2 linked regions of the Anolis sagrei genome follow. The main gene of each other region encodes a partner of the protein of the gene in region 2 in a complex. Links are inferred from orthologs where the notes say so. Each region holds a gene or a part of one and is shown on either strand. Other genes may lie near its edges.

Region 1 (9,573 bases), on a different chromosome or scaffold from region 2:
GATTTTGGGCAAGTCACATACCCAGAAATCCTCTTAGGGCCTCTTGAAGTCAAAAAGGACTTGAAGGCACACAGCAACAAACCATGGATTTTGTAAGCATCTTGATTTTAAAATGTTTTTGGAAACAGAGAGTTCGCCTCCCAACCAAAGTCATTTTTCGAAGGTAGATTAGCTCTTCCAGCTTACCAGTTTTCTTCAGTTTTAAGCAGACCAACTCTCTGATAAATCAGGTTGAGATTTGCATATCTACAAAGATTTGGCTCCCAATTGTTTTAATAGCAAAAAAGGTCAACACCCTACCCTTTAAATCCCATTGTTGAAACAAAGGAAGGTTGAGGCAGATGAACTGTGAATTCTTGAACAAAACTCTTGATAGGTCTTTGCATTCCTATAAGAAATTCAGTTTTTGAAGCCTGGGGTATGCTCATCCCTGTGGTGTGTGTGTGTGTGAAGATATGTATGCATGCTTGTACCCCAAAGGCTTCTTCGTGGCTTGATGGATCTGGACCAAACCTGAAACACATGCTTTTCATGATCCAACTTAAAATACTGGTGGGGTTTTTAAAAATCACCCTTTTTTGTCTGTTGCCTTATTTTAAACATGATCTACATTGATATTCCATGAACCTCACACTGAAGCAATCAGAAGCGACCACTAGAGGGCACTGGATAGAAAGTCTATTCCAGAAGAAGAGATGACAAATGGAAGAGAGCTAGTGCATCAGTTTCTTTCAGATGGCCAAAGCCTGGCCACGGAGATGGTGGTGCAGTGGGTTAAACCTTTGTGCCAGCAGGACTGCTGACCAAAAGGTCGGCAGTTTAAATCCGGGGAGTGGGTTGCACTCCCATCTGTCAGCTCCAGCTTCCCATGCAGGGACATGAAAGAAGCTTCCCACAGGATGGTAACACATCCGGGTGTCCCCTGGGCAACATCCCTGCAGATGGCCAATTCTCTCACCCCAGAAGCAACTTGTAGTTTCTCAAGTTGCACCTAACATGGAAAAAAAATCTAAGGGAGGCCTTCTCAGAGGGACAGGCAAAGGAAGTGATCTGGAGAAGGGAGTACTTAAAATGATACAATCTGGGTAATAATTCAGTTCTTAACGGAATCCTACATTCAGAGCAGTGCATTTATATGCATGGAGAAAAAAATTCTCTGTACAGAGAAAATGAGTATTGAAACTTTATAAAACACTAGCATAAGTACCTGACATTGCTTGAGTATACATTTTCTAATGGGACCATTCATAAAATCATAAATTTAACAATAAGTATGTTTAATTTAAAAAGCATTTGAAAATACCATGCCAGGTTTTCTTTTTTAATTGTCAGAAGTGACTTGAGAAACAGCAAGTCGCTTCTGTTGTGAGAAAATTGCCAGACACATATGCTAGTTAAAAATAAATCACAAATGTTATAGTTGAACGCAGTCTCTGTGGCAATCTGCTGCATATTCTTTCTCCCTTGTACAAGTCAGTCTCAAGCGCTGGCCCTGCTTACAATCCATGGCCATTAATAATCATCAGGAAGCTGAGCTGAAAAAGTGTTTCCAGTGTTCCTTCAGAGAACCATTAATATAACAGTATCTGCCCAAGGACTGTCATTGGGATCTGTCACTATTTCCATCCAGTATTTAAAAACATTAAGAAAATAGATCTTCCCAAGGAATGTCATTGGGATCTGTCACTATTTCCATTCAGCTTTTACAAACATTCCCCATTCCCTTTTCCTGCACGCATATGGCCCTTCCACACATATAGCCCAGAATGCCAAGGCAGAATAACCCACAATATCTGCTTTGAACTGGGTTATCTGAGTCCACACTGCCATATATCCCAGTTCAAAGCAGATAGCATGGAATTTTATTCAGCTATGTGGAAGGGGCCATAGTCTCCTACATTTTCTTTCTTAATTGTTTGGGCTGACCTGCTACAGAACCACACTACAGACTTCCTGAATCCTTTCAGGGCTGTGCAGTGCAATGCAATGCTTCTTCATCAACTAGCACACAAGCACTACTGTCACAATACTCATCAACACTGTACTAACAATGGGTCCAACAAGCACCCCTCGGCTGCTGCCATCCTTTGGTGGTACAGTAGTAGTAGCCGGTGTGCTGGAGTACACTTCCGTTCCACCTGAGCCCTCCTCATCTTCCTCACAGGGCTTCTGATCTTGGACATGCCCACTGGGGCAGATGCAATGGTAACTTCCTGGTGTATTCACACACTCCAATTTACCACATTCCCCGGAATGACACTCATCAATATCAGTACAAACTTTAATGTCATCTTCGGTCACGTCAGAGATGAAACCGTCTGGGCAGTCGCAGTGGTCTCCCGTGTGGGGGTCGCACTCTGCCGGGCACTGGCTCTGGTTACAGAACTGGAGACATTCGTTGGGCTTTAAGGGGTTCGGAACATAGCCCTCAATGCAGGTGCATATGTGCTTCCCATTTATGAGGGTGCAGTCGTGCTGACAGAGCAGGTCGAAGCAGGGCCGCCTATCCTCCTGGCACTTGCCCTCAACCATTTCGTAGCCTGCCGAGCAGCGGCACTTGAAGCCCCCCGAGGTGTTGAGGCACTCCTGTTCGCAGGGACCAGGTTGGGTCTGGCAGTCGTCTACGTCCACGCAGCTCTTGCCGTTGGTGTCCAACAGGTAGCCTTCCATGCACATGCAGACGGCGGAGTCGCCTTGTGTCACGCAGTGATGCTCGCAGTCCAGGTGGGCACAGAGGGACCGGCAGCTCAGACTGTCGGCCTCTAGGAAAGCCACCCCACCGGGGCAAGTACAATAAGGTTGCCCTGTCTCTCCAGGGTGGCATTGCCCCTCGCAGCCCCCGTTCTCCAAGCGACAGTCCCAGGCGCCTTGCGTGACAGAGCGCCAGCGCCCTCGGGGCTCCTCCTGGCCTTGTGCTATGCACTCCAGGGTGGCCCCCAAGCTGGGCACTTGGGCCGTGCTCCCTGGGGGCAAGGATGCCAATTCTGCCTCCCGGGCCCCGAAGGGAGTCACGTAAAGCACCTCCGCGGATGGTGGGGGATTCAGAGGAGCGCAGGTGCCAGAGGGGAAGCTGTATTCGCAAAGGAAGCCGTCGGAGGGGGCGTCGCAGCTGCTCTCCTCCCAAGACAGCGCTTCTGGGGTCACCACCACGCAACGGGGGCCACACAAAGCAGGCAGGGAGTCTCCCTCTGCTTCATCTCCATCCCAGGCGGCGTAGTCGGTGCGCTCGTCGCCGGAGACCCACTGGAAGCCGCGCAACTTCTTTCCCCGCTCCCGGCAGGCGCCCACAGGCAGGCGCAAGCCCAGCCAAGCGCGGCCCGGCCCGCCTCGCAGGAGCAGAGCGATGGCCTCCGCTGCCACCGTCGAGCGCACCGACATGAGCCGCCCGCCGCCTCCCTGGCACGCCTGGTCCGCCTCGGAGAAGCTCCGCGCCACCCAGAACAAGGCGAAGCAAGCCGAGCCCACGCACTGCGCCCCCGAAGGGGAAGGGGAAGGCGGCGAGGGAGCGGACACCGCCAATACCACCGGCAGCAGCAGCAGCCTCAGGAGCCACATGCCTGCTTGCCTGCGGGAAGGAGCCCTCGGCTTGGCTTCCCTCCTTCAGGCAACGCGCCGCCCTTATAACGCCCTCCATGAGGGAAAGACAAGGCCCCGCCCTCCAGGGCTCTTCGGCGGCGGAGAGGGCGCGCCGGGCCGGGCCGGGTCTTCCTCAGGGGCGGACCCGCAGCAGCCTCAGGGCGGGGAAGAAGGGCGGCTGCTCCTTCTTCCCCTTCCCTTCCCCTCCCACTAGAATTCTCTACGGGACCGAGGAACCCTACAGCTACACCCGCGCGCTTTCCTGTCTCTTGAGTGGAAACGCAGAAAAGGGAGTTCCCCTCCCTTGTCCTGCCCTTCCCCGCCCCGCCCTCTCGGCGCTGCACGTGCGCCTCTGAGGGGTTTCCCGCCCTCTCGTGGGGAGGACAACGCAAGGACTTTCCTCCTGGGTGAGGCCGCGAAGCCCACTGCCTTCTCTTCCTCACAGACCCCCCCCCCCTTTCCCCTTTTCCACCTTAGATGACCCAGGGCAAGATGCCTTCAGAAGAGGCCTGCTGTTTTCTTACTCAGGCCCCTTCCACACAGCTGTATAAATATATGCAGCCTGGATTCACATAACCCCATTTAAACCAGATATTGTGGGTTTTCTGACTTGATATTGTGAGCTACATGGCTGTGTAGAAGGCAACTCAGATAACCCAGGTCAAAGCAGATATTGTGGGTTATCTGACTTGCTATTCTGGGTTACATGGCTGTGTGGAAGGGCCCCCAAATAACACAGGTCAAAGCAGATATTGTGGGTTATCTGACTTGATATTGTGAGTTACATGGCTGTGTAGAAGGCAACTCAGATAACCCAGGTCAAAACAGGTATTGTAGGTTATTATCGGACTTGATATTCTGGGTTATATGACTGTGTGGAAGGGGCCCTCAGATAACCCAGGTCTAAACAGATATTGTAGATTATCGGTGTTGATATTCTGGGTTATATGGCTGTGTGGAAGGCCCTTCAGATAACACAGGTCAAAACAGATATTGTGGGTTATTGGACTTGATATTCTGGGTTATATGGCTGTGTGGAAGGCCCCCTCAGATAACCCAGGACAAAACAGATATTGTGGGTTATCGGACTTGATATTCTGGGTTATATGGCTGTGTGGAAGGGGCCCTCAGATAAACCAATTCAAAACATATATTGTGGGTTATCTGACTTGATATTCTGGGTTACATGGCTGTGTGGAAGGGCCCCCAAATAACCCAGTTCAAAGCAGATATTGTGGGTTATCTGACTTGATATTGTGGGTTACATGGCTGTGTGGAAGGCCCCTCAGATAACCCAGTTCAAAGCAGATATTGTGGGTTATCTGACTTTGATATTCTGGGTTACATGGCTGTGTGGAAGGGCTCCCAGATAACCCAAGTCAAAACAAATATTGTGGGTTATCTGACTTGATATTCTGCGTTATATGGCTGTGTGAAAGGGCTCCCAGATAACCCAGTTCAAAGCAGATATTGTGGACTATCTGACTTGTAGCCCCCAGTGGCGCAGTGGGTTAAAGCACTGAGCTGCTGAGCTTGTTGAACGAAAGATCGCAGATTCAATTCCATGGAGCGGCGTGAGCTGCTGCTGTCAGCTCCAGCTTATGCCAGCCTGGCAGTTCAAAAACATGCAAATGTGAATATATCAATAGGTTCTGCTCTGGTGGGAAGGTAACGGTGCTCCATGCAGTCATGCTGGCCACATGACCAGGAGGTGTCTGTGGACAACGGCAACTCTTCGGCTTAGAAATGGAGATAAGCACCAACCCACAGAGTCGGACACGACTGGACTTAACGTCAGGGGAAAACCTTTACCTTTACTTTACTTTACTTTACTTTACTTTACTTTACTTTACTTGATATTCTGGGTTATATGGTTGTGTGGAAGGGCCCACAGAGACAGTGACTTGCACAGGGTTTTTTAAATGTTTTGTGTCAAAAGCATTGCATAAATAAGCATAAAACTGATAAACTAGAGGGAACACAAGCGGCTAAATAATTTTAGACCAAAAATGGGCAACAGTGACCATACTGTCTGTAGCTTTAAACAGTTCTTCCTCTGTGCATGAAGGCAGGGCATTGTGGGCAAGCATACAGGTGCAGAGTTGTTTGTTCTGCTCCACAGTCACACAAGGTGAAAGATTCTTCTAGGTCAGTGGTTCTCAACCTGTGGGTCCCCAGGTGTTTTGGCCTACAACTCCCAGAAATCCCAGCCTTTTTTTCCAGATGTTAGGATTTCTGGGAGTTGAAGGCCAAAACATCTGGGGACCCACAGGTTGAGAACCACTGTCCTAGAGAATATTGTATTTGTTTTAACTGGAAGCTAATTTCCCTGGATAGGGCTCAGCTTTCCCACCAACCAAAGTTGGTTGCTCTTGCCCACAAGAACCCCAGAAGCAATGCTAGGCCCAAGATACTCAAGTTATGAGTATCTCTTTTAGAACAGGTAGTAATCCCAGTCCCTGATTATTATTTTTCTAATGACTGGGGAAGCAGACAGTGGTAGTGCCATTTAGCCAGGTTGTCTTTTGATCTGCCCACTCCTCTTCTGAGTCTGTTGAGTGACTTCCAAGTTGCCCATTCTTGGTTTGCCTCTGGACGCAGACCCTCATACGGGGGATCCAATTGGGAAGTCCTCAAACTAAGATGTTGTGATCACCACCAAAGCTGAGGAACAAATCTAAGTGCTAAGGGCTAAATCTTCAAATTAAGGCCCACAGGCAGATGCAGCCCACCAAGGTCATTCACCCGGTCCCCAGCTTTAGATTTAGAGTTGCCCTCAGTTTGAAATGGCTTGAAGGCACACAACAGCAACACTCCTCCTACTTGATTTGACTATTGCCATAAGCCCAAAGCAGGCCCACATTTGCCATTGAAACACTGGTATGTTATTGTTGGTTAAAATTGTTCTTCATTTCCAAAATTGTATTGTTCTTTCATTCTTTTGGCACTAAAATAAGATATGTACAGTGTGCATGGGAATTAATTCATTTTTTTCAAACTATAGTCAGGTCCCCCAGCAACCTGAGGGACTATGAACCAGCCCTCAGCTTAAAATGCTTGAAGAGGAGGGTGGCAAAAATGATCAAAGGTCTGGAGACTATGCCTTATAAGAAGCGTCTTAAAGAGCTGGGCATATTCAGCCTGCAGAAGAAAAGGTTGAGAGGAGATATGATAGACAGGTATAAATGATGCCATAAGGAAGAGGGAGCAGGCTTGTTTTCTGCTGCCCTGGAAACCAGGACACAGAGCAATGGGTTCAAATTACAGGAAAGGAGATTTCACCTGAACATTAGGAAGAACTTCCTGAGTGTAAAAGCTATTCAGCAGTGGAACTCTTTGCCTCGGAATGTGATGGAAACCCCTTCCTTGGAAGCTTTTAAATAGAGGCTGGATGGTCATCTGTCGGGGGTATTTTGATTGTGTTTTTCCCGCATGGCAGGGGATTGGACTGGATAGCCCACATGGTCTCTTCCAACTCTATAATTCTAAGACCCTTGCATTAAACCATGTGTTGGTTTATATATGTGATCTGTTGATCTATATAGTTTAAAACTATGAAAGCATGGATCTCTTGTGTATTTTTAACTTCTTTAGTCTTACATATTAGGAATTGATCCTTGGGCATCATCCCCTCCATTGTTTTGTTACCAATAGCTGAAAGTTCTCAGACAACTGAAGATGGGTGCCCATCATCCTCAGACAGTCACCATGACCAGGAATGCATCCTGCAGCTTGCAGCGCTTTCCTTTTCTAATAGACTGCTTCAACTTACAAAGGATTTTGGGCCTTTCATGGAAGCAGCCACGTATTGTAAAATTCATTAATATAAGCAATATGTCGATTTTACAAATGAAAATCTAGCTCAATTGCTTAAATCAATAGTTTTATTTGACATTTCACAAACTTTTTAATTATTTCCTGACTGTCAGCCATGCAGGCCATAAATTGACAAATTGCCAATTCCCCACTCCTCCATTGCTATTTTAAATGCCTGTCAACACTATGCTGAAAAAATGGGAGTGGGGCAAGAAGTACTTGTCAGTCGCAAGGCCGAACAGGGCATAGGGTTACAGCCTGTGTTGGATGGGGTTACACTCCCCCTGAAGACGCAGGTTCGCAGCTTGGGAGTGATCCTGGACTCATCGCTGAGCCTGGAACCCCAGGTCTCGGTGGTGGCCGGGAGAGTTTTTGCACAATTAAAACTTGTGAGCCAGCTGCGCCCGTACCTTGGGAAGTCTGATCTGGCCACGGTGGTCCACGCTCTTGTTACATCCCAAATAGATTACTGCAACACGCTCTACATGGGGTTGCCTTTGAAAACTGTTTGGAAACTTCAGTTAGTCCAATGGACGGCAGCTAGATTAATCACCGGAGCGTCATACAGGGAGCATACCACTCCTCTGTTACATCAGCTCCACTGGCTGCCGATCCAGTTCCGAGCACAGTTCAAAGTGCTGGTTTTGACCTATAACCCTATACGGCTCCGGCCCAGTGTACCTGTCCGAACGTATCTCCTTCTATGTCCCACCTCGGAGTTTAAGATCTTCGGGGGAGGCCCTGCTCTCGGCCCCACCTCTATCACAAGTGAGGCTGGTGGGGACGAGGGACAGGGCCTTCTCGGTGGTGGCCCCTCGCCTGTGGAATTTACTCCCCAAAATTAGGAAATTAGGGAAATTAGGTCATCAACATCCCTCCTCTCCTTCTGAAGGAAGCTGAAAACATGGATATGGGACCAGGCCTTCAGGTAATCTGGCAGACTGACATGGTAATGATGACCAGAAATTGGAATGGACTATGGTAATGCTGAATGGACTTATGGATATTAGAACTCGGTGAACATTGGCCACTAGATTGGCTTTTAATTGTTACTGTTTTAATTGATTGTTTTAACTATTGTGGTTATTACTGTTATGTAATTTATCTGTTGAATTGTTGGCATCGAATTGTGCCGGTTGTAAGCCGCCCTGAGTCTCCCCTTGGGGATTGAGAAGGGCAGGGCAGAAGTGCCCAAAATACATACATACATACATACATACATACATACATAAGTAACGTTGAAACTGAATTTTTAAAATGACAATAGCATTGTCAGGATTGCAGTTAGTATCACATGTAGATTATACCCTAAAGGGCTCCTTCACACTACACACAATGTTTTTGTTTTACAATTATTATATTGTAAATATGTGTCATAATAATTTAGGTGCACTGAATTCTTACAAGTGTGAAGGGGGAAATGTGGATTATTTCTGAACATGGATATATGGCTATGAGGTAAAAGTCAGTAATGACTCTACAACAGCTGTTTCTGAGTATTTTGTGATGTCCATTCAGTATGTGTGTCACAGGCATACACCAGAATAGTTGTGAGAAATGCAGCTGCTGTGATGCCTGGCTGGCCTTCATCCTTCTGACCTTCAGCACAGCAGCTGTTGACTGTGAGATTGATGCCAGATGTAATCACAAACTCTTTTGAGACAACATGCCTTTCGGTGCTAGACTTTCTATGGAAAGGAGAGGCAGAAGGCTTGGGGTTTGTCATATTTGCCTCAGTCTCCTCTTGCGCAAGAGCAGATCGGGATATCTTTATTTTCCAAGATGTCTCGTCGCACTCCATTATGAAATAGTGCATTCCATATGACACTATCCCTAGTAAGTAAGAGTGGTTTGCATCAGTTTGCATGAGTTTGGTAAGAAGAGAGATGGCAGGCCTCCCCTCTCTAATAGATGAGTTTTGAACTTTGGGAACCTCCCCACCTCTCAGACTGAGTCCCCACTGACTCAGAGGAGCTGCAAGGGCTGCCAAGGAGTGTAAAGTGAGTACTCCTCCCAGATACAAGCCAGCAGCCAACATCATGCTAGGAAACTGGCATCCGACCAGGACAGTAACTTTCCTCTCCAAGAGCATTGCTTCAGCAAAAATGCTGAACAGTCAAGTGGCTTATCTTCATTTTCTTCTGAACAGTGTTTCCTATCCAGCAAGGGAACCCACCCTCA
Region 2 (9,072 bases):
CCATAGGTTACTAGGGGGGATACTCTTGCCTTAACTATGCAGATCTTCATTGCCAGTGTCATGTCTCTACTCTTCACTATTTTATTGAGATTGGTCATTGCTCTCCTCCCAAGAAGTAAACATCTTCTGATTTCCTGGCTGCAGTCTGCATCTGCAGTAATCTTTGCACCTAGAAATACAAAGTCTGTCACTGCCTCTATGTTTTCTCTATATGCCAGTTATCAATCAGTCTGGTTGCCATAATCTTGGTTTTTTATATTTATCTGCAACCCAGCTTTTGCACTTTCTTCTCCCCCCCCCCCCCCCCTTCCCCAATGGCTTGAGACGTTCATACTCAAAGGATTGCTTCCCCCTATATACACCTGCCCAAGGATTGAGATCTAATGGAGGGTTCTCTTGTGTATGTGTCCCTGGGAGAGAGCATTCTCTGTTTGGGCACATTGGTAATAGGATACACTCCCTTTAGATTCCTGTCAGAGTGCACTTTAGTGTAATTTCTGCACCAGCAAAAACATGGGTTTTTACTAATGCCTTAGGAGCATAGTTGATCCATCCAAATTTGTCTGTAGTTTTAAATTATTTAAACCTATTTCATTTAGTTTTAAACTGTCTTGTTTTCAACTTATCAAATTGTTTAATATCCTTTTAGTTGGTTTATATTATTTCAATTATTTAGAATTCTCAACCAGAGTGTGAATGGACTCGGTAAAGTACAAATCCCAAGAATCTATAGGCTGACACCATGGCAGTTAAAGTGGAATAATATCACTACAATTCTATAGTGTGACAAGACCTCTGATTTTCATGTAGCGCAGCCTTTCCCATTGGGAACTTGGGGATCACACTGTGAATCTTTCCCACCCTCTGTTTGAGATTGAACCAAGGGGTTGATGTATTTGTTGTGCAATTGCCTTGTTTTATTCAGATTTTGGTGTGTCAGGAAAAAATCACCTTCACTTTGTCATCTTCTTGTGTTCTTTCACTTCTCTTTTCTCCCTATTTTTAGCTTACTTCACTTTTGTGGACAGATCCAATACCTACAGAAGCCATTCTGCATAGGCCATTCTACAAGCTTTGTCTGGAAACACCCGAGGATCCTAGAAATTGACCATAGGAAAATGATCAAGATGGTAATATGTCTGGAAACAAAGTGCTATGAAGACACAATTAGAGAGCTGAATATGTTTAGTTTATAAACTGAGAGGTGCCAAAAAAGTGTGTGTGTGTGCCTCTGGTTCCCAACATGGGGAACACACCTCACAGGAGGGCAATTTGATTTTTAATGGGCAATTCGAGAATGCTTTATTAACATTGCTTCTTTGCATTTCTTGTGGTTCTAGGAGACTCAAACACAGAATACAAATACATATTGTGGCATACACATTTTAAAAAATAACATTTGAATGTACAGGGTGATCGATTGGAGACAAAGGATTGGGGAGAGCCCACTCATAGAGAGGAATTGAGAGAGCATAAACTAGAGAGTGCATTAGTACAGAAACAGGAGACCACTTTTATGCCAAACACTCCACTCCTCATAGTGTTCTTGTAACATTACAAGCTATATAAAACATATATAAATGTCTTTTTGTTCTACATATGAATGCAGCAAGACATAATGTGAAAAAATCCAAAACATAATTATTACCTTCATAGGTAAGTCAGTATTTTGTATGAAAAAAAGATGATCCCCTGCAAGAAAATTAACATCAGGTGACACGATATTAACGCTTTTCTCACCAAATACACACAATGACATTGGGCGTTTAAGTTACCCTGAATTTGATGCAGATTACTCAAATTCATTTATTCTTTTCTTTTTCTCTTTCTTGGATGCCATGTTATTTTGGAAGCTTGTTTGGACCAACTTTATGGCCTTTTAAGGTTTCTCCGTGTGAATAGGAGTTTACTTTTTGAGTAATGACAATTGCCATGGGGGAGGGGGTCAGGGTTTTAGAAAGGCTTAGGTGGGGCATTGCCAAAAAAAAAAAAGTTGGGAACTACCAGTATAGGTCTAAAGTTGCCTGCTGATTTCTGGTGATGCCATGAATTTCATAAAATTTTCTTAGGCAAGAAATATTCTCTGAAATACAGTTTGCTGCCCCCATTATTTCTTGGTGGCCCTTATCCAAGTATTAACTAGAGCTGGCTGTGCTTAGCTTCTGAGATTAGACAGATGCCTTTAGAGTATTTAAACTATTTATATAGGTGACATGATAAACATTATCATCATGTTACCTACATAACCTTGGGAAGTCTGATCTGGCCACGGTGGTCCATGCTCTGGTTAGATCCCAAATAGATTACTGCAACACACTCTATGTGGAGTTGCCTTTGAAGACTGTTCGGAAACTTCAACTAGTCCAACGGGTGGCAGCCAGATTGCTCACTGGAGCATTGTACAGGGAGCATACCACCCCCCTGTTACGTCAACTCCACTGGCTGCTGGTCCATTTCCGAGCACAATTCAAAGTGCTGGTCTTGGCCTATAAAGCCCTATACGACTCCAGCCCAGCTTACTTTTCTGAATGTATCTCACTCTACGTTCCGCCTTGTAGTCTAAGATCTGTCGGGGCCCTGCTCTCGGTCCCACCAGCTTTGCAAACGCGGCTGGTGGGGACAAGGGACAGGGTCTTCTCAGTGGTGACCCCCTGTCTGTGGAATTCGCTCCCCAGAGAAATTCGATCGGTGTCCTCTCTCCTTTCTTTCAGAAGAAAACTGAAGACATGGTTGGGGAACCAGGCTTTTGGCTAATGGATATATACGGCACCTGAACCGTGAATTGGACCAAACGGTTATAATGAAAATGCCTTTATGATTGGATAACTAATGTTGTTTCAATATATTGTATTGTATGATTTTATTTTGCGTTTATAATTGTAATTATTGCGGCATCGAATTGTTGCCATTGTTAGCCACTCTGAGACCCCCTGCGGGGGTGAGAAGAGTGGGGTAGAAATGCTGTAAATAAAATTTAAAAAATATGATGGTGACAGGAAGACAAAGGTAAGCATTGTCTGCAATGGGATGGAGACAGGCAATGTAGTCAGACTGGGGACAGACAGGAATACTGCATTCCAGACCAGCACCAGGTTTTCCAGCCTGTGTACAGTACATATGACCAAGGACAGAAATGTGTGGATTTAAATTCTAAGAATCCACCAAAAGATTAGGATAAATTTTCTGATGGTGTGGTTCAGCAGTGAACTGGACTGTCTTAGAAAGTGGTAGATCTCTCCTTCATTGAAGGTCTTTAAACAGGTTGGATGGCAAGAGTACCTTAATTTATTTTCTATCTGTATCTATCTACAGATAGATACCTTTCTACAGACAGAGTCCTCCCTGAGTCCCTCCTAGGGGGTTGAGAAGGGCGGGGTAAAAAAATACCCGAAATAAATATCTATCTACTTACCTATCTAATTTATACATACATATACCTACATACATATATACACACACACACATACACACACCTACTTGGAAGACGATTAGACTAGAGATGGCCCTGTGGTCTCTTCCAACTCTATGATTCTATGGAATGAACACACCTGTTTTCTCTGGCATCTTCCTCGCACTTGTAATGTCTCCTGGGTCTTTTGTCACAGTAAGGTCTCGGGTTGTTAATTGCAGACACGACTGAGCAGGCCTGTAGCCAGGATTTCAATTCGGGGGGAGGGGTAGTTTGTTTCGGGAGGGGGGGCTGAGTCTGAGTGAAAGAGGGTCTACCTTAGCAAACCTTTTGTATCGTTGCCCCAATACCCCCATGCATATGGGATATATTGAGTATGGTGATCAGATCATGATATGAATAAACATAACAGTTTAAATAATGCACCAGTAAGGCCTTCTCGCAGACCAACATGAGAATTTCGGGGGGGGGGGTGAAACCCTTCAAGCCCCCCCCCCCCCCCCCCGGCTACATGCCTGCGACTGAGGTGACATTATATCAACATAGTCCCATATGTACAATAATTTAGTTTCTAATGATCCCTCTGTTTTATACCAGGGATGTGTGAAACTCTGTTCTTCAAACCCTGCTCTCAAATTGGAATAGAGGATGGTGTAATTGCTCTTTGTACAAGTGGCCAAAGAGTTGTTTCCCAGTTGTGCTAATGCTAATATTTACCCGCCTGTGATAGAGAGAGCAAATACTGACTAGAAAACTATTTCAGAAGTAAAGAGAGATTGAGAGGATCAAGAAAAGGTGTTTAGGGCCTGGTATTTTTCATTCAGAACTTATTGTTGTCTTAGATGTGGACTCCCTCCCAAAAGATTTTAAGTTGAATTTGGAGTTTCTAGTACTTATACATTATGAACTGAAAGTTGCTAATGATATTGCTACTTTACATACCATCCATATGCTGTTTTTTTTCTTCTTCTCTCAATCATAGATGTCTAGTTAATGTTGAAACTAAATAACTAAGAGATATACATATGATCAAGGTGCATGGACCCTTAACTTCATTATTTAGTCATTTCTCAGTAAAAAATGAAAACACTGTAATATTTGCTGGATTTATCAACTGGAGTTCTGTTTGTTTATGCCAACTAAAGTAGTAGACTTATTTAATCAATTCTTGAGTGATGAGTCAATATGCAGATAAATCCATTTGTTTCCATGGGCCTTTCCTTATCAAGAGCAACAATAGGATTAAGTCCATCAATGCCAGCATTCTCTTTGTAACAGTCATCTAGCCAAATGTCCCTGGAAGCTCACTAGGATGGTATCATGAAAACAGACATCCCTCAGGTTTCTTTATCTGGTTCTGAAAAGTATATTACCTCCACAAATAATTGCATTTACTATGCAGTTCTAGATACCAGAAACAGGGTGCATTTCATTCAACTGACTTAATTCCAAGTAACTATGTTAGTAGTTGTATAAGATTATCATTCCCAACCCCCTGTGATCAACCTAGCCTAATTTGTTTGTCCAAACCTTTCTTTAAAATTATCTTCTAAGCTAGTAACTGTCACCATATCATTTTATACATTTACCATGCAAAAGAGTGAAAATGGTGTAGTGGTTTCAATATTGGACTACATAGTTATCTATGGAGGAAGTTCGCACACTAAGATTCTAAGTGATGGGTTTTATTATTAAGAAAATTAATATTATTTAAATTAAGGAAACTCTGGCTTGTCGAGGAGTTTATTAGGAATAGTGCGACTGTGAAATAGGAATGCCTCATCCTTGGAGTAGCTGCATCTTGCAACTAGGTCCCCAAATCAAAGACTTGGAAACACTTTGATAACAATTTGGCAAGATCTCCATGACAGTGAGATTGGACACTTTGATATCCTGTCTTTCAAGAAGTGGCCTTTATATTATTTCACAAAGTTCAGGATGGCTAGCTCTGTTTGGGCTTATTTGAAATAAGTGAAATATATGCATTGGAGACTTCTTTTTCATGGTTTGCATATGCTAATGAAGCAGCAGAAAACAAAAATGCTCCGAAGAGAGGGAGGGAAGCCAGGGTGGGTGCAAGAGCAAGCTCTTCAGTACAACTGTCCCTGACACACTGTGACCTGGTTCCTCTTTCTTCATGCTGGTTCAACATTAACCCAAGCTGGGCTGCAATAGTTTCTCCTCTGTTTCCCCTCTGCATTTTTCCTGTAGCTCAGGAACCCACACAATGGGACACAGCAGAACCAAAATGCTGAGGGCTTTTCTCCTCATCAGCCTTGTACATTTCACCCAGAGCTACGACACGGGTAAGGATACGCAGGAAGGGATGGGGAAGGTGGCATCTGTCAATCAGCAAAGCCAGAATATTGTGGTGGGGCTGGAACAGTAAAACAAAATGAAGGCAGAGGACAAGAAAGAATCCAGGGCATCCTTGATATGAAGGAGAAAGCAGCCAGTCATTGAGAGAAATAGTCAGGATCACACTGAAGAAGAGGTGAGCATGGCAGCCGTGCAGAGACACACCTCTGCAAGAACTTTGGAACTGAAAGGCTCAGAACATGGAAAATTATAGCTCTAAGAATCGTTGAAATATTCTGTGAGTTGTAGTTGGAAAAAACTGGCATTTTAGTAAACTCTGGGAAAATACAGTTTTGGAAATAATTTGTGGTCCTTGAGAGAAAAGTGTGGAAGCTAGACTGAAAGAGTTGCTAGTGACTTCTGTCTTCAGGCAATTTTTAATTTTATCTTTATACTTGAGAGCATATAAATAATTAGAGATTATTCAGGACCCACGTTTGCCTTATTCTGGGGAGATCGACAGGGTGTGTGTCTATTCATTTTAAATCTAGTTCATTATCTGGCTAGACTTAATAGAATCGGATTCTCGCCAATATTTTTAAAAGTTTCTTCTCCTGGCTCTGAATATAATTTTTCTAAGTTTGTTTGTTCATTTATTTGAGTATTTATGCCCTACTCTTCTGCCAAAAGGTATCCCATGGCAACTTAGAAATCATCAGTTCGACAGTCCCCTTCCCTCAGGCTTACAATCTAAATAAAACATGACGCATTAGGAAAAGGGAATGGAATTAAGTGTGAGATCAAGTTCAGCAGATGCTGGCTGCTCTTCTCCCATTTTGAGGCCAAAGTGATAGCAGTTGTAATTTGGAGGGAGGGCTTCTCGTCAACTGCTGAGTCAAAGTATGATGGAGCTCTATCTGGCTGCTCTTCTGTCCCTGAGAGGAGAATGTGTGCTCAAGCAATGGATATGGAGGGAACCAGTTTTGGTGCTTCCAAGTCCTTCATTGCTTATCTTCTGAGAACCAATTTGTGCTTCTCACCTCCAACTTAGATCTGTTACTATCACATAGAGAACATTTATGGAAACTTTAAGTTGATTAAGGCTTAAGTGTTTATGCAATGCAACCCACAGCAGCAGCTGCATAAATACTTTGCTCCACTATTTCAATCCAGCCTATCTGTTGCCAGTCAGCCACTTATTTATTTTTGTCTTATCATTCTTCAAAACTTGGTGCTGGAACTAGGCGGTGAAGTTTTTCTATCTGGAAAAGAAAGGAAAATGTGTGTCCCTGCATGTTGCATATGGAAAGGACTACAAAGGGTCAAACACTGGGGTTAGGCAAACAGAAGACCAGCACATTCTACCAAAGAGGTACTCATGCCATGAGGGTTGAATAAACAAGCCTTTCTATGCAAACAGGAAGAAATAGGTGGAAATAGGCATTGATCAAAAAGATGTAACATACTCTTGCAGGCAGCCATACATTGGCAGAACTCTGATATTACATTCAGTGGAAGATTTATGTATGGTTGTGAAAGCTAGACAATATAGGAAAGTTGAGAAGAGAATTCTCTACTTGGTGCTAGAGGAGAGTTCTGCTAAAAAGGCCAATAAATTTGACCAAGAGCAAATCATGCCTGAACTTTCCCCAGAAACCAAAATAACCAAACCGAAGATATTATACCTTGGTCAATAATGCTTAGCAAAGTGGGAAGCAGTAGGAAAAGAGGAAGACCACATTGTAGGTGGGTAAAGTCAATCTGAGAAGTCAGCCCTGAGTTTACAAACCTTGAGCATGGCTAAGTCTCTTGGAAGTTTCTCATTCATATGGTCAATTTGAAAGTGACTTGAAGACAATTCATAGCAATCTGAAGATCTAGTTCTCCCACATTAAGCCTATCATAGACTGGTCATATTTTCTCTTTAGTAACATCTGTTACTGGACTGTACCATACCCCCAACTGCACCAATTCAGCAAGGACAACCCTGAGTAATCCTCTGGCGTACCACTGTTTTGAATGTCCCAATTTCTATCTCCTCTTTCCACTTTCCCCTTCTTTTCTTTCCTTACCTTCACTTACTGGTGAGTTCAAAATGCAAAAGTAGCTAGCATGCAATTAACTCAGCACAAGGAAGAGGAGTGGTGTGTAATCTTGCCAATTGTGATAGGTTCAGGCTAAATTGTTCCAGCCTCTCCTAATTCATGTGTGTTCCCCTAAAATAACAACTGCAGTCTAAACTGCATTCCAGTGTTGTTTGGTCACAATGTCTCTGTTTTATCTGTGAAATATTGTGGAATATGCATTGGTTCTAATTTGTACACAGAAACAAATATTTGTAATTGAAATGTTCTGTGCTCTTTTAACCTATTCTTTCCTGTCTGCACAGAAAAACCTCTTTGTAGTACTTTGTTTTTCTGAAAAAGAAAGAGAACAGAATTTATACCTTCTCCATTCAACCCGCTTAGCAATTCATTTCCGCAAGACAAAGAGATGTGATTGAGTTTTAGAAGGTGAAAAAACTTAACCCATCCAGAAGATAAAGCTCTTTAACATAAGCAAGAAATTTAACGCAGCCAAAAAATAAAACTCCATAACACAAACAATAAAAATGAAGAAAACAAAAGAAGACTGGCAAAAAAGGAATATTATTCAGATCAGTGAAAACCAAATGAATAGTTTAGTATTGTCTTTTAGGAACAATTCAAGAAATGAAGCTTTATAATTTGATATAATCTTCTATCTTTTCTGTTGAATTGATGGTCAGAATATTAATTTAATGTGCATTAATTTCAAATTATTAAACCTTCAGTAGATAGTAAAGTTAGAGGAATATACTATACACAGCTACCTGTGATCTGGAACTGTGTATCTGAAACATACTGATAACTTACTTATTCTAGTAAGTGTGATGTAGTTTATTTGATCAAGTCACCCGGATTTTTGTTTGAAGCACCTTTCTGTTGGGTGCCCCTTTCTTCTTCTGTCCCAGTGAGGTCAACACTATATAGATCAGAAGATCTAACAGTGCTTGGACTGCTGTCAGCTGATCATGAGTTGCAATCCAAAAACATCAGTAAGAAGTTAGTTGCTTCCCTTAGTGTTGCTAATCTGGATGTGGTAGTAACCCATTAGTAGAAATTTTGTTGTTGTTAATTGCTTTCCAGTCAGCTTCAATTTCTGGCAACACTGTATGAATGAGAGACCACCAAGTCACACTGTTACCACCAGCTATGCTCAGATCTTAGAAACTCAGGGATATATCTTCTGTGATTGAACCTATTCAACTTGACTATGGTCTTACTCTTTTCCCACTACTGTAATGAGCACTATTGTCTTTTCTAATGAATCATATTTTCACATGA

Evidence for each region.
Region 1: the proteins of F2 (region 2) and THBD are in contact, whole or in part, in a crystal structure (PDB 1DX5), measured with the Homo sapiens proteins. The link is inferred for Anolis sagrei from reciprocal best matches to the Homo sapiens genes F2 and THBD. Residues at the interface, in NP_000497.1 of Homo sapiens: Phe382, Ser385, Pro386, Gln387, Leu423, Arg425, Thr432, Arg433, Tyr434, Arg436, Asn437, Glu439, Lys440, Ile441, Met443, Lys470; in NP_000352.1 of Homo sapiens: Ser424, Cys425, Glu426, Cys427, Tyr431, Ile432, Leu433, Asp434, Asp435, Thr440, Asp441, Ile442, Asp443, Glu446, Asn447, Gly449, Phe450, Asp479.

Annotation. Positions count from the first base shown.
Region 1 is NC_090024.1:140,402,112-140,411,684, forward strand, and holds the start of THBD (thrombomodulin), read right to left. Parts: upstream 3,820-9,573; 5' UTR 3,556-3,819; coding exon 2,002-3,555; 3' UTR 1-2,001. UniProt on the Homo sapiens protein: Endothelial cell receptor that plays a critical role in regulating several physiological processes including hemostasis, coagulation, fibrinolysis, inflammation, and angiogenesis.
Region 2 is NC_090021.1:279,172,409-279,181,480, forward strand, and holds the start of F2 (prothrombin), read left to right. Parts: upstream 1-5,564; 5' UTR 5,565-5,636; coding exon 5,637-5,715; intron 5,716-9,072. UniProt on the Homo sapiens protein: Thrombin, which cleaves bonds after Arg and Lys, converts fibrinogen to fibrin and activates factors V, VII, VIII, XIII, and, in complex with thrombomodulin, protein C. Functions in blood homeostasis, inflammation and wound healing.